Xenopus tropicalis: one gene and its partners. The protein of the gene in region 1 binds, or shares a complex with, the protein of each later gene. Links are inferred from orthologs where the notes say so. Each region holds a gene or a part of one and is shown in the gene's direction. Other genes may lie near its edges.

Region 1 (3,653 bases):
TGATTTATCTTTGTCTTATTTTTGTACAGCACAGGAACCTGACATTTTATCAGGGGTGTGTAGACTTTTTATATCCACTGTATGAATGTATTCTGCCGCAGCATCAAAACTGCAATTTAAAAGCACAGTTGAGGGTAACCCCACCCCCTGCATAGATTATCTGTTTCTGCAAATGGAAGTTTTTAGTTGCACATTAAACACTTTTGGCTGTTGCACATGAGCTGTAATACTAGGAACATGAAATTTAGACACAGCAATGATAGAGAAACCGAATGTATACATCTGGGCTGTACATTGTCAGGCCTTTGGATAGTTTTTTGTATTCTTCGGTCTTCAGATTTTTTTTTTTTTTTTTTTTTACCCTTCAGTCAGTGATGGAGACAATTAAGTTGAAAATAGGAATCCGACAAAAAATTTAACTTGTATATCCCCTTAAGGCACCGTCTGGCCGGGAGAGTTATAATTATAAATGAAATAGCCAGTTACACTTTGTGCACATTTTTTGAAGCATAAACCACTCCAATGCATAATATTAGATTATGAGGAAAAGAAAATCTGTATTAGAATATCTCAACTGTTCTGTCTGAGAATGTAGTATTCATAATTATTAAAACTGGCTAAAAACTTCTGTGTGCACCCTGAAGAGTGTCGCAAGTTAATTAAGAAATGCTCTTCTCTTTTCAGCATGTCTGAGATTGATTAGCTTGCTGTAACATTCATGGTGAACCAGCAAAATAACATATTTTCATGTTTTGTCTGTGCATACTGTTTGTGCGCAAATTAGGGCAGCTATTTTTAGCCTATTAATGCAGAATGGGCAAGTACCTTAATAAATCATGTCTTTGCTCTCTTAATTTAAAATGTTAAAATCTATAGGTATTGTTGTAGGTATGCTGTAGAACAAATTCTTTTCCATTGTCTCTTTTAGGTAGTGGTTAAATGTATCTAATTATAGCATTGCTTGGTTTCTGCAGGTTGAAAAATTGTCAAAGGAACTTGAAGCTACCAAAAAAGAAATGGCATCAATTTCCACATCTGCTGTTTTAATCCCTGTACCTTCTGCCTCTGGAAATGTGCCACCTCCACCACCCCCTCCTCCTCCACTTCCAGGTGCAACTGGTATTCCTCCACCTCCCCCACTTCCAGGTGGCTCTGGTATTCCTCCACCACCCCCACTTCCAGGTGGCTCTGGTATTGCTCCACCACTTCCGGCTGGCTTTGGTATTCCTCCACCTCCCCCACTTCCGGGTGGCTTTGGTATTCCTCCACCTCCACCACTTCCCGGTGGCTCTGGTATTCCTCCACCTCCCCCACTTCCGGGTGGCTCTGGTATTCCTCCACCTCCCCCACTTCCGGGTGGCTCTGGTATTCCTCCACCTCCCCCACTTCCGGGTGGCTCTGGTATTCCTCCCCCACCACCATTTCCGGGTGGCCCTGGAATTCCTCCCCCACCGCCATTTCCAGGAGGCTTTGGAATTCCTCCTCCTCCTCCTCCATTTCCAGGTGGCCCTGGAATTCCTCCTCCTCCTCCATTCCCTGGTGGCCCTGGGGTTCCACCTCCACCTCCAGCATTTGGAGGTGGTGTTCCTCCACCACCAGGACTTGGAGGCTGGGGGGCACCACCACCCTTACCATTTGGCTTGGCTCCTAAGAAGAATTATAAGCCAGAAGTGCAACTGAAGCGACCCAACTGGTCAAAGGTATGTCAACTAATATACAACCAGTTTTTTATTGGGCGGTGTTATAGGCTACATTTTTCAAGTTGTTACTATTCCAATCATTATTTCCATATTGCTTAATATCTAATGCACAGTGCAAACAATTGAGGTTTAAGTGTCCCCCTCAAGAGCAGTCACTTTCCTTGGAACATGCTTCTCTTACTTTGTTGTCTAGTTCTAATGGTATAAAATTGTCTTACATCAAGGAAGTTCCAGTGCTTGCCTTTGTCTTCTGCCTGAAGCCTCTGATTAATGGACTCTTGCTTCTAATTTCACTTAATTTCATTTTTTTATTGTTTATTTAATGTTTTCTGCCCTCTGCCTTGTAGAAAGCATTAAGAAGCCATCACCATGGTAACACACATTCTAATAATCACATTTCCTATAAAATATGCAAGCATTGGATAATTACCTTGCTCTAAATAGGCAGAGTTTCTTTTGTCATTTAAATTGTACATCCCCTCTGTTCTTTATTTATTTTTTTAAGAACTGGGACAAAGATAATGAATGTGCATATCTGTGAAATCCTTATCATTCTGTTCCTCTCCATGAAACTAGCTACATTTGAGTGTAAGAACTGCTTTGTTGGCACACAGACAGATTCAGTCATTCCCATTTTAGTTTAAGTTTTGTAGTAAATATCTTGCTTTCCTGTGCTTCTGTAAGCATCACAAAGCTATTTTCTTGGAAACGACAATTCACAATTTTCCCAAAGTCCTTAATCCTTTGCTATCCCCTTGTTCAATCCAGAGAATTCTTCTTTACCAGTCATTCATTTGGTGAAACGTTGAAAGGTGTTCAGATCAGGTAATATATAACATGTAAATACTTTTCCAGATCACTCCTGCTGAGCTTTCAGAGAAATCGTTTTGGACTCAGACAAAAGAAGATCGTTTTGAAAAAGAAGAGCTGTTTGCAAAAATAACCCTCACTTTTTCTTCACAGATCAAGTGTGAGTGAGCCAAGATACCGTGTATTTCTTGTGTGTTATTCCTGAGATCTGTAAAAAAATGGGCGGGTTGCTAAACAGTTTTTGGGTCACTTTTTTGCACATTAGATTTTTCTAAAAACGTATGAAGTAATTATTAATTCGTAGAAAACAAAAAAAGAAGAAAGGTTGACCCTCAGACTTGTACCACCCCTTCCTTAATAAAGGTATGGGATCCGTTATCCAGAAACCTGTTATCCAGAAAGCTCTTAATTATGGAACGCCCGTCTCCCATAGACTCCATTTTAATTAAATAATTCAGAATTTGAAAAATGATTACCCTTTTCCCCGTAGTAATAAACTGTACCTCGCACTTGACTCTAGTTAATATATAAGTAATCATTATTGGATGCTAAACAAGCCTATTGAGTTTATTTAATGTTTTATTGATTTTTTTTGTTGACTTAAAGAATAAGTAAACCTTTTTTTTTCTATCAGTAAAATTACTCTAAACAGCCTCTGGAATTACCTACATTTGTCCCAGCATTCTGTCTGACCTGGTTCCTCAGTTAGAAGTTAATCGGTTTTCTTTGCTTCCTTGTGCAGAGTGAAGACCCGCCCCCACTTCCTGTTCAGGTCTCTCTTCAATTCGACTATCTGTAGTCGACCTGGAGAGCCTTCTGGGCATGCCTGGAGGCAGCAGGAGCCAGTCTGTGCATTAGCAGGGTTTTTTTTTTTTTTTATGAGAGACCAGAACAGGAAGTGGGGGCGGGGCTTCACTCTGAACAAGGAAGCAAAGAAAAACAATTAACTTCTGAGGAACCAGGTCAGAGAGAATGCTGGGACAAAGGTAGTTAATTCTGTAGGCTGTTTAGAGTAATTTTACTGATAGAAAAAAAAGGTTTACTTATTCTTTAAGGTATGGAGTTTCAAATTAAGGAAAGTCCCCTTATCCGGAATACCCGTGGTCCCTAGCATCAATGCTGCAGAATTACATGGTTAAGGGA
Region 2 (3,653 bases), on another chromosome or scaffold:
CCTGATGCAATGGCTCTGGAAGCAGGCACAGGGAAAGGCTGATGCCAGTGTAGGGGCCGATCCTCTGCCTGCTTTATCCACAGGCCCGAGTCAGCTCCGTCTGTCATTAGCCTTACATAGTGTGCCAATGGATAGGATGTTGTAGAGAGTGGCAGTTTGTTATAACGTTGCTAGGGTCACTGATTCTGGTATCCACTTGTTTCTCTGCCTGCACCCAAAATCATCGCATCAGCTGAGTTGCAGGGGCACGGAGTGGATTTTGGCTCAGAATTGCATACTCGCATGTTCTGACTGAAATCCACTCAGTGTGCCTGCACCCCAGCTGATGTAGTGGCTCAGAGTGCAGGCACAGGGAAAGGCTGATGCCAGCGTAGGGGCTGATTCTTGGCCTGAGTTTATCTGCAGCACCGTCTGGCATTGGCCTAAATAGAAGTAATACAGATGTATAAATCATAACAATACAAATGAAGTTTAACAATCTGTCTCAGTCTGCAACTTAACCAGGCAGTATTTTACAGTGTGGGGAAAAGCAGTACAAGAATCTATGAAGAAAAACATTTTTTTTTCTCCTTGTATATATATTTACCCCATCTTCAGTTAATTTTAAAGTAAACGTTTCCACTGAACAAAGAGCAGAGTGTAACATCCTGGCTCAGATTGCAATGAAAGAGAACCACACACGTGGCGATTTTCGATCTTTCGTGCGACCATCGGTCGCATTAAAGATTGTTCCAACCCTCCACTGACATTCAGGGCTGAATCGTCTGATATGGAGGTAAAAACAATAGGATTTCTACCTCCTTCTGCCGATTAAGCCCTGAAGGCAAATTTTGCTCAGGCGCCTTCAATGGCGCCCGATCGGCGAGTCACAGCCTTCTGTGATATCGGTCGCCTCGTCGAGTTGCCATACACGCACCAAATATCGTACAAACGAGGTTTCACACAATATTATCGGTGCGTGTATGGCCAGCTTAAGTTCCACTTGCAGCCCAGTTACGGCCCAGTAATGGGTCCTTTGGCTGTGGGAGCTATAACACACGAGCAATGTTGTATAAATTACAAATGGCTTCTGGCAGCTCCAAGGTTATATTTTTTGTTTTTTTTCTTCAGTGTTATGGGGAGAACAGTGTAACCTTTATTATGCATTTGCTGATGTTAAATTTGTTGGTATTTTTTAGCAAGAGGGTGCTTTGTTCAAGCTTAGGGTTATATTTGAATGTTTTTCATCCTGCACATGTGGAAATGTGCAGTGAGCAAAGTAAAACTTTGAGTGCAATCGCCATGTTTTTTCCCACAGTGCAGTGCTTCCCCCCCCCCCCCCAGAATTCCTGCCTTTGCCTGGGTGAAATGCATGATTGCCCTTTTGCCAAGGATTGTTAGGACATATCCACTACTCATTTGAAACGCACGGACCAAAGAGAATCTATGGGCAGCTTCAATAATGTGGTTGTTTTTAAAGATAATTTTTAGTGTAGAAACTGAAACTGGGACCATATATTATTCATTCAAGTCTAAAGGGGTTTTGAGTTATGCTTTATGCTCCCTTTATGTTTAGCCCAAGTGCCCCCTTCTGCTTTAGACACTAAAGGCCTCTCTGCTCAGTTCTGTTGGTCATTGTGGCCATGCCCTGACAGTACAGCAGGGGGTGCTTGGGTTACACATTCCCAATATTTTTATGGTTGTGTCAAGGAAGTATATGTCCCATTGACAGAATCTAAACAATTACGTGTATTTATTATAGTAACTTATAGAATTTGTAGAAAATTGATGCAATCGTCAATAACAAACAAATGGCTTTGTACTTTGTTCCGGCAGCCTGCAGAAATTGATGTGCTCATAGGGAAGGACAGAGAAGGATTCTTTACTGGTGGCCTAACTGTGGGAGGAAAGAAATGCTCTGTTATAAGAGACAGCCTCTATATTGATAACGATTTCACAATGGACATCAGAACAAAGAGTCAAGGAGGAGAACCAACATACAATATTGCTGTAGGAAAAGCCGTAAGAGGTAAGGTCTTGTGGTGCCTTAGTGTGTGTGTATATTTGATTCTGTGTTGCTAAGCCTGGGTTTGCAGAAAGGATTTTGTTGGAGGTTGGACTGGACCTCTTTGAGTATAAAGGCCTCAATGTTATTTTATATTTTTCAAACAACAAGAAGTTACTGCACTTCTCATCCTGTGCATCAGGTTCCCTATTATGGTGCATAAACAAGATTGCCTTGATAATAGTGTACACAAAATGGCACAGCCTGCTTGCTGTTATTTTGAATTCCATGACTAAAGGGAACAACATTTAATAAATAATTTATATAACGTAAGTAAACTTTATTTTGCTCGACTAACATGATAAAAAAGGATTTGGAATTATTTCTTATGGGGACAGGTCCCCTATAACAAGAAGACCTGCTATCCCATCTGTAATTATAGCCAAGAGGAATACCTGCATCCAGGCAATATCTAAATATCCTTATTTCTATAAATATGTACATGTATTACACCAGATGGCTGTTTGTGGCTGGGAGACTTGCCCAGCATGGTTAAGGCTACAGCACAGCCAACATGAGGAGCAGTTTTTAGTATTTGCTAGATTTATGTAACTGGGAAAAGGCTCTGTGGGGTTGCATGCTAAAATATTTGTGTTGTGGCTTTACATGCTGCCTAAGTTTTGGGGGGCATATTTAAGTAGAGGGGTAAACCACCTCTTCATCAGAAAGGATCTCCATAGTTCTCTGTTCCCATTTATTCTGCAGGGATTGTCTGTGACAATGCACAAAGTAGGTTTGGCACAACCCCTATTGATTGAACGCATGTTGTACAAGGGGATATACAGTCCCTTAAAACTGCAAGTTGGTGCAAAATATCTCCTGCAGTGAGTTTAGGATGTGGCCTACAAAGTTCAGTTGCCCTTTATTTCCAATCAAGATGGAGCAGTTTGATCATCAAAACAAATTCCTGTTCAGTATAATGAGCAATTCAATGTACAAGGGAATGGGCACACTGAGCGCTAGTACCCATATGAGGCAGGTGGTTTTGGCGGGGGACTGTAAATGTGCAGACTATTTTCATACATGACAGTTTTTTAGTTTAGCTGGAATCTTAAACACAAAGCACCATGGGATGTTTACATGTGTAACTATGTTGTTTCACTTGTAAAGAAAAGGGCAAATTGTACGTTATTTTCCTTTCCTGGACATTATCCAAATCAGCACACACTGGGATATCCCATGCCCTGAAGGACCCTCACCAAAGCTTTAAAAGCCAGCTACTCTGTATGGCACGTTGGCCAGGCATGTGGATTCAGCCCCATCCACCTAAAAAACAAAACAAAACAAAAAAAAAAACAAATCTTGACCGAATCACAGGACAAATATATATGTATATATATATATATATATAATTAAATATAATATATTTATGTGTATAATATACAACATTCTGATTGCTGAGCACAATCTCATTGTATCTTTTTCTTTTTTTCTTTTTCAGTCTTGGTTTTTGCAATGGGCAAGGAAGGCGTCCACGGAGGCGGCTTGAATAAAAAGACATTCGCAATGGCAAAATACTTGAGAGATATGGGATTCTAATTCTAGGCTGACTTACATTCTAGGGGTTTAAAAAAACAAACAAACATTATTGCTACTAAACTTTCCTGTC
Region 3 (3,653 bases), on another chromosome or scaffold:
AGCCGGACTTGGATTTCTTACTATTGAGTGCTATTCTGATACCTACTGGGAGCTGCTATCTTGCTCCCTTCCCATTGTTCTGCTGATCGGCTGCTGGGGGTGAGGGGGGGGATATCACTCCAACTTGCAGCACAGCAGTAAAGTGTGCCTGAGTCTGAGCTTTCAGAAGGAGCCAGTGCTACACATTAGAACTGCTTTCAGCTAACCTATTGTTTCTCCTACTCCCATGGAACTGGAGGAGTCACAAGCCGGACTTGGATTTCTTACTATTGAGTGCTATTTGATACCTACTGGGAGCTGCTATCTTGCTCCCTTCCCATTGTTCTGCTGATCGGTTGCTGGGAGGGGGGGGATATCACTCCAACTTGCAGCGCAGCAGTAAAGTGTGGCTGAGTCTGAGCTTTCAGAAGGAGCCAGCGCTACACATTAGAACTGCTTTCAGCTAACCTATTGTTTCTCCTACTCAGGGTATGGTCAGTACGACCTAAGCCGCATATAAAGGGGTTTCTCCAGCCAGGGTGCTATTCTTATGTCTAGGTACCACTAGCACAAGTCACATGGCTGCAGGCACCTGGGAAAGTAAGAACGTAGCTAGCATTATGTCAGATTTCAAAATTAAATATAAAAAAAACTGTTTGCTCTTTTAAAAATCTCAGAATTCTGCCAGAGCAGTCCTCATAATTTTGAAAAAAAAAACCTGTTTTCCCATAACAGTATTTACAAATACTAAGGGAACACTGGAACAGCCAGGTCCAGCCTGATGGTAATTACAGAGTTCCGTTACCTGTAACATTTCAGAGTATGTACCAGCCTGCAGTGCAACAAACACCCCATTAGCCCCTAGATTGGTCAGTAGGACCAGCATGGATAGAGTTAATATTAAATTACACTTCCCCTGTAAATATCTAACAGGTCTTGTGTTTTCTGACAAAGACGCATCCGGCCTGATATATATATGCATCAGCGCCCAGGTGTGAATTGCAGCAGTGAGTCACAGCATTACTTGTCGTGCCATCTTGCGCCGCTCGTTTTCCCTTTTTCATAACCTGCTGTGGGAACGCAAGGCGCCCGAAGAACTTAATTGGTCATGAGTTTTTCCCTGTAAAATGACAGTTTTACATGGTTATCAAGAGAATTGTCATCAGGCCCAGACTGGCAATCTGTGGGTTCAGGCAAATGCCAGAGGGGCTGCTGTAAGATGCCATAGACACTCACTATTTATTGGGCTGGGGGGGGGGGGGGCTGTTTGGGCCTCTGTGTATTTGAAATGTCAGGGCCTGTTTTGAATCCCAGTCCAGATCTGTCATATATAACTTGGACTATGGTTATTGAATCTTTAAGATACAGATTTATGCCACTCTAATGATGCCTGTAATTAATATTATTGTGCTTACAGCATTCATTCAGGCTTATGGTCTCCATGTTGGGAACCATCATTATAACCAAATCTTTTTCAACCACTGGAGCCCAAAGAACCACAAGTGACCGGTATTGCCACTGGAAACTGTTCGGTGGAGGTGCTGTTTTTGGAACTGGAAGGCTCTAAAATCTTTGTATTTTTGATGAACATTGTGTCTCCTAGACTTGGTGGTGTAGAGCAATGGAGGTGGTTTGGCTGCCCCTGATGGTGTTTCTCTTATGTTTGCCTTACAGGCATGAACTGCTGGAAGAAGCCTGCCGGCAGGGACTTCCTTTCGCTGCCTGGGATGGACCCACTGTTGTTTCATGGTTGGAGGTAAGAAAAGTTATCTTGTCTTCAGTTAGTCCTTTCCTACGTCGTTGTCACAGTCAATAAACTTGTTTCTCGTCATCTTATCTCCCAGCTATGGGTAGGCATGCCCGCCTGGTATGTAGCAGCTTGCCGTGCTAACGTAAAAAGTGGAGCTATCATGGCCAACCTTTCTGATACAGAAATCCAGCGGGAGATTGGCATCAGCAACCCCCTCCATCGGCTGAAACTGCGCCTTGCTATCCAGGAGATGGTATCGCTCACTAGTCCCTCCGCACCGGCCACCTCACGTACGGTGAGCGCTCACAGCACTTTATGTAGCACATGAAGCAAAGGAGCAGCTAATGGCATGTTATGCCATGGTTTGTCCAACATGGCTGACATTCTAATATTCCTAGCAGTCATTGGCCACGCTTGTCAGGCCCAGTTCTTTATTATTCACATTACTGGTTTTATTTTTGTTTCATGCTTTATCTTGATTTGCCCCTTGATCACTGTTCTATTATGTCTTCTGTCCAGTCGACAGGTAATGTGTGGATGACCCACGAAGAGATGGAGACCCTGACAGCAACCACTAAACCAGTACGTAGACGACTTTTCCTGGGTTTTTAATAGAATCGTGTAAGTTCATGTTCAGTATAAAGTAGGGGTGCACCGAACCTACCCAGAAGGATTTGGCCGAATTCAGATTCGGTTCGGCTGGGACCGCAGATCCGGCCAAGACCGAATCCTTAAAAAAAGCCGAATCCGGAATTTGGTGCATCCCTAGTATAAACCAAACAAAGCAAAAACACTCAAGAGCTTATCCCAGTATGATATTATACTAATAAATGTGCGGTCATAGATATAGATAAAAGGCAAAATTTATTTTCATCCATGCCAGCATAGATACTAACTCCCCCCTAAAAACAAAGCTAATGCCAATGAGAGGAGGGGCCCCTCACAATCAGTTGACTAATTAATCATAAGCAATATATTATTTCAATATAACATACATATGCCTTTCACTATATACCACAATTAAGAGCAATAAAAATCAATGAGTATAAAACAATTGAATCTCACAAAATTTGACCATATGTATGGTATATAGTAAAAGTTATATGTATGTTGTGTTGAAATAATATATTGCTTCTGATTAGTGAGCCCATGGATTGCTAGGGAGGGGCCCCTCCTCGTATTGCCTTTTATCTATATCTATAATCACACATTTATGATATATGATGTTTTTGCTTTGTTCGGTTTAAGTAACATATAAGAAAGAAGGCAACTTGGTTCACAATTATCTGCTATAGGTTTGACTGATAAAAAAACACCCAGTAAGGTATTTCGGTTTAAATTCATGTAAAGTTGCTAACAAGGAGACACTTTGCTGCACATTTATATAAGTATTAGATAGGAACAACCAGTATGTCAAATTGATTGGTGTTACTTGTCCTAAGTACCTTTACTTTCTTGTCTGTGATTTCACATTATGTCTTGGATTCATTTTCCTTTGCTTGATACTTTAGCACGTTCTGCTTCTGTGCACATAATCTTGCTACTTGTGCGACTAACAGCTTAACTCTGAATCTTTCTTCTTTATCCTTCTTAATTTAACCACTGCCAGGAGACTAAGGAAATCAGCTGGGAACAGGTAGGCTTATCACCAGGAGTGCCTTTGTTCATTTATTTATTTATTAGCACAACCAGCATTTGCTTCTAGAGGTGCTGTATTGGTTCTGTATTTGTTATGGGATGATAATAATATAGCCAAGTGATTTGGCTCCACCTATGGCCATTGTGCCAATGAGCATAATGGTTCAATCAGGTGTTCCTTCTTGAAGAAATAAAACTGTCTTTTGTTTAATTTACTTTAAAGAATAAGTAAACATTTTTTTTAAATCTCTAAAATTACTCTCAGCAACCCAGGGGCGGGCCAAGC

Evidence for each region. Proteins that work in one complex are often made in the same cells at the same time.
Region 2: the proteins of diaph1 (region 1) and pfn2 are in contact, whole or in part, in a crystal structure (PDB 2V8F), measured with the Mus musculus proteins. The link is inferred for Xenopus tropicalis from reciprocal best matches to the Homo sapiens genes DIAPH1 and PFN2. Residues at the interface, in NP_031884.1 of Mus musculus: Ile635, Pro636, Pro637, Pro638, Pro639, Pro640, Leu641; in NP_062283.1 of Mus musculus: Ala2, Gly3, Trp4, Ser6, Tyr7, Asn10, Ala28, Tyr30, Trp32, Arg108, Met131, Tyr134, Leu135, Ser138, Phe140.
Region 3: the proteins of diaph1 (region 1) and ppfia3 are in contact, whole or in part, in a crystal structure (PDB 4UWX), measured with the Mus musculus proteins. The link is inferred for Xenopus tropicalis from reciprocal best matches to the Homo sapiens genes DIAPH1 and PPFIA3. Residues at the interface, in NP_031884.1 of Mus musculus: Lys252, Ser255, Ala256, Ile259, Gln307, Asn310, Ala311, Thr314, Pro315, Ala316, Glu317, Arg322, Gln352, Cys354, Val355, Glu358, Gln359, Glu362; in NP_084017.2 of Mus musculus: Pro719, Arg720, Arg723, Leu724, Arg726, Met727, Ala728, Ala730, Leu731.

What each region holds. Positions count from the first base shown.
Region 1 is NC_030679.2:27,682,343-27,685,995, reverse strand, and holds part of diaph1 (protein diaphanous homolog 1), read left to right. Parts: intron 1-974; coding exon 975-1,700; intron 1,701-2,555; coding exon 2,556-2,670; intron 2,671-3,653. UniProt on the Homo sapiens protein: Actin nucleation and elongation factor required for the assembly of F-actin structures, such as actin cables and stress fibers. Binds to the barbed end of the actin filament and slows down actin polymerization and depolymerization.
Region 2 is NC_030681.2:118,629,721-118,633,373, forward strand, and holds the end of pfn2 (profilin-2), read left to right. Parts: intron 1-1,815; coding exon 1,816-2,008; intron 2,009-3,485; coding exon 3,486-3,583; 3' UTR 3,584-3,619; downstream 3,620-3,653. UniProt on the Homo sapiens protein: Binds to actin and affects the structure of the cytoskeleton. At high concentrations, profilin prevents the polymerization of actin, whereas it enhances it at low concentrations. By binding to PIP2, it inhibits the formation of IP3 and DG.
Region 3 is NC_030683.2:117,906,864-117,910,516, reverse strand, and holds part of ppfia3 (liprin-alpha-3), read left to right. Parts: intron 1-1,653; coding exon 1,654-1,735; intron 1,736-1,823; coding exon 1,824-2,024; intron 2,025-2,248; coding exon 2,249-2,311; intron 2,312-3,338; coding exon 3,339-3,365; intron 3,366-3,653. UniProt on the Homo sapiens protein: May regulate the disassembly of focal adhesions. May localize receptor-like tyrosine phosphatases type 2A at specific sites on the plasma membrane, possibly regulating their interaction with the extracellular environment and their association with substrates.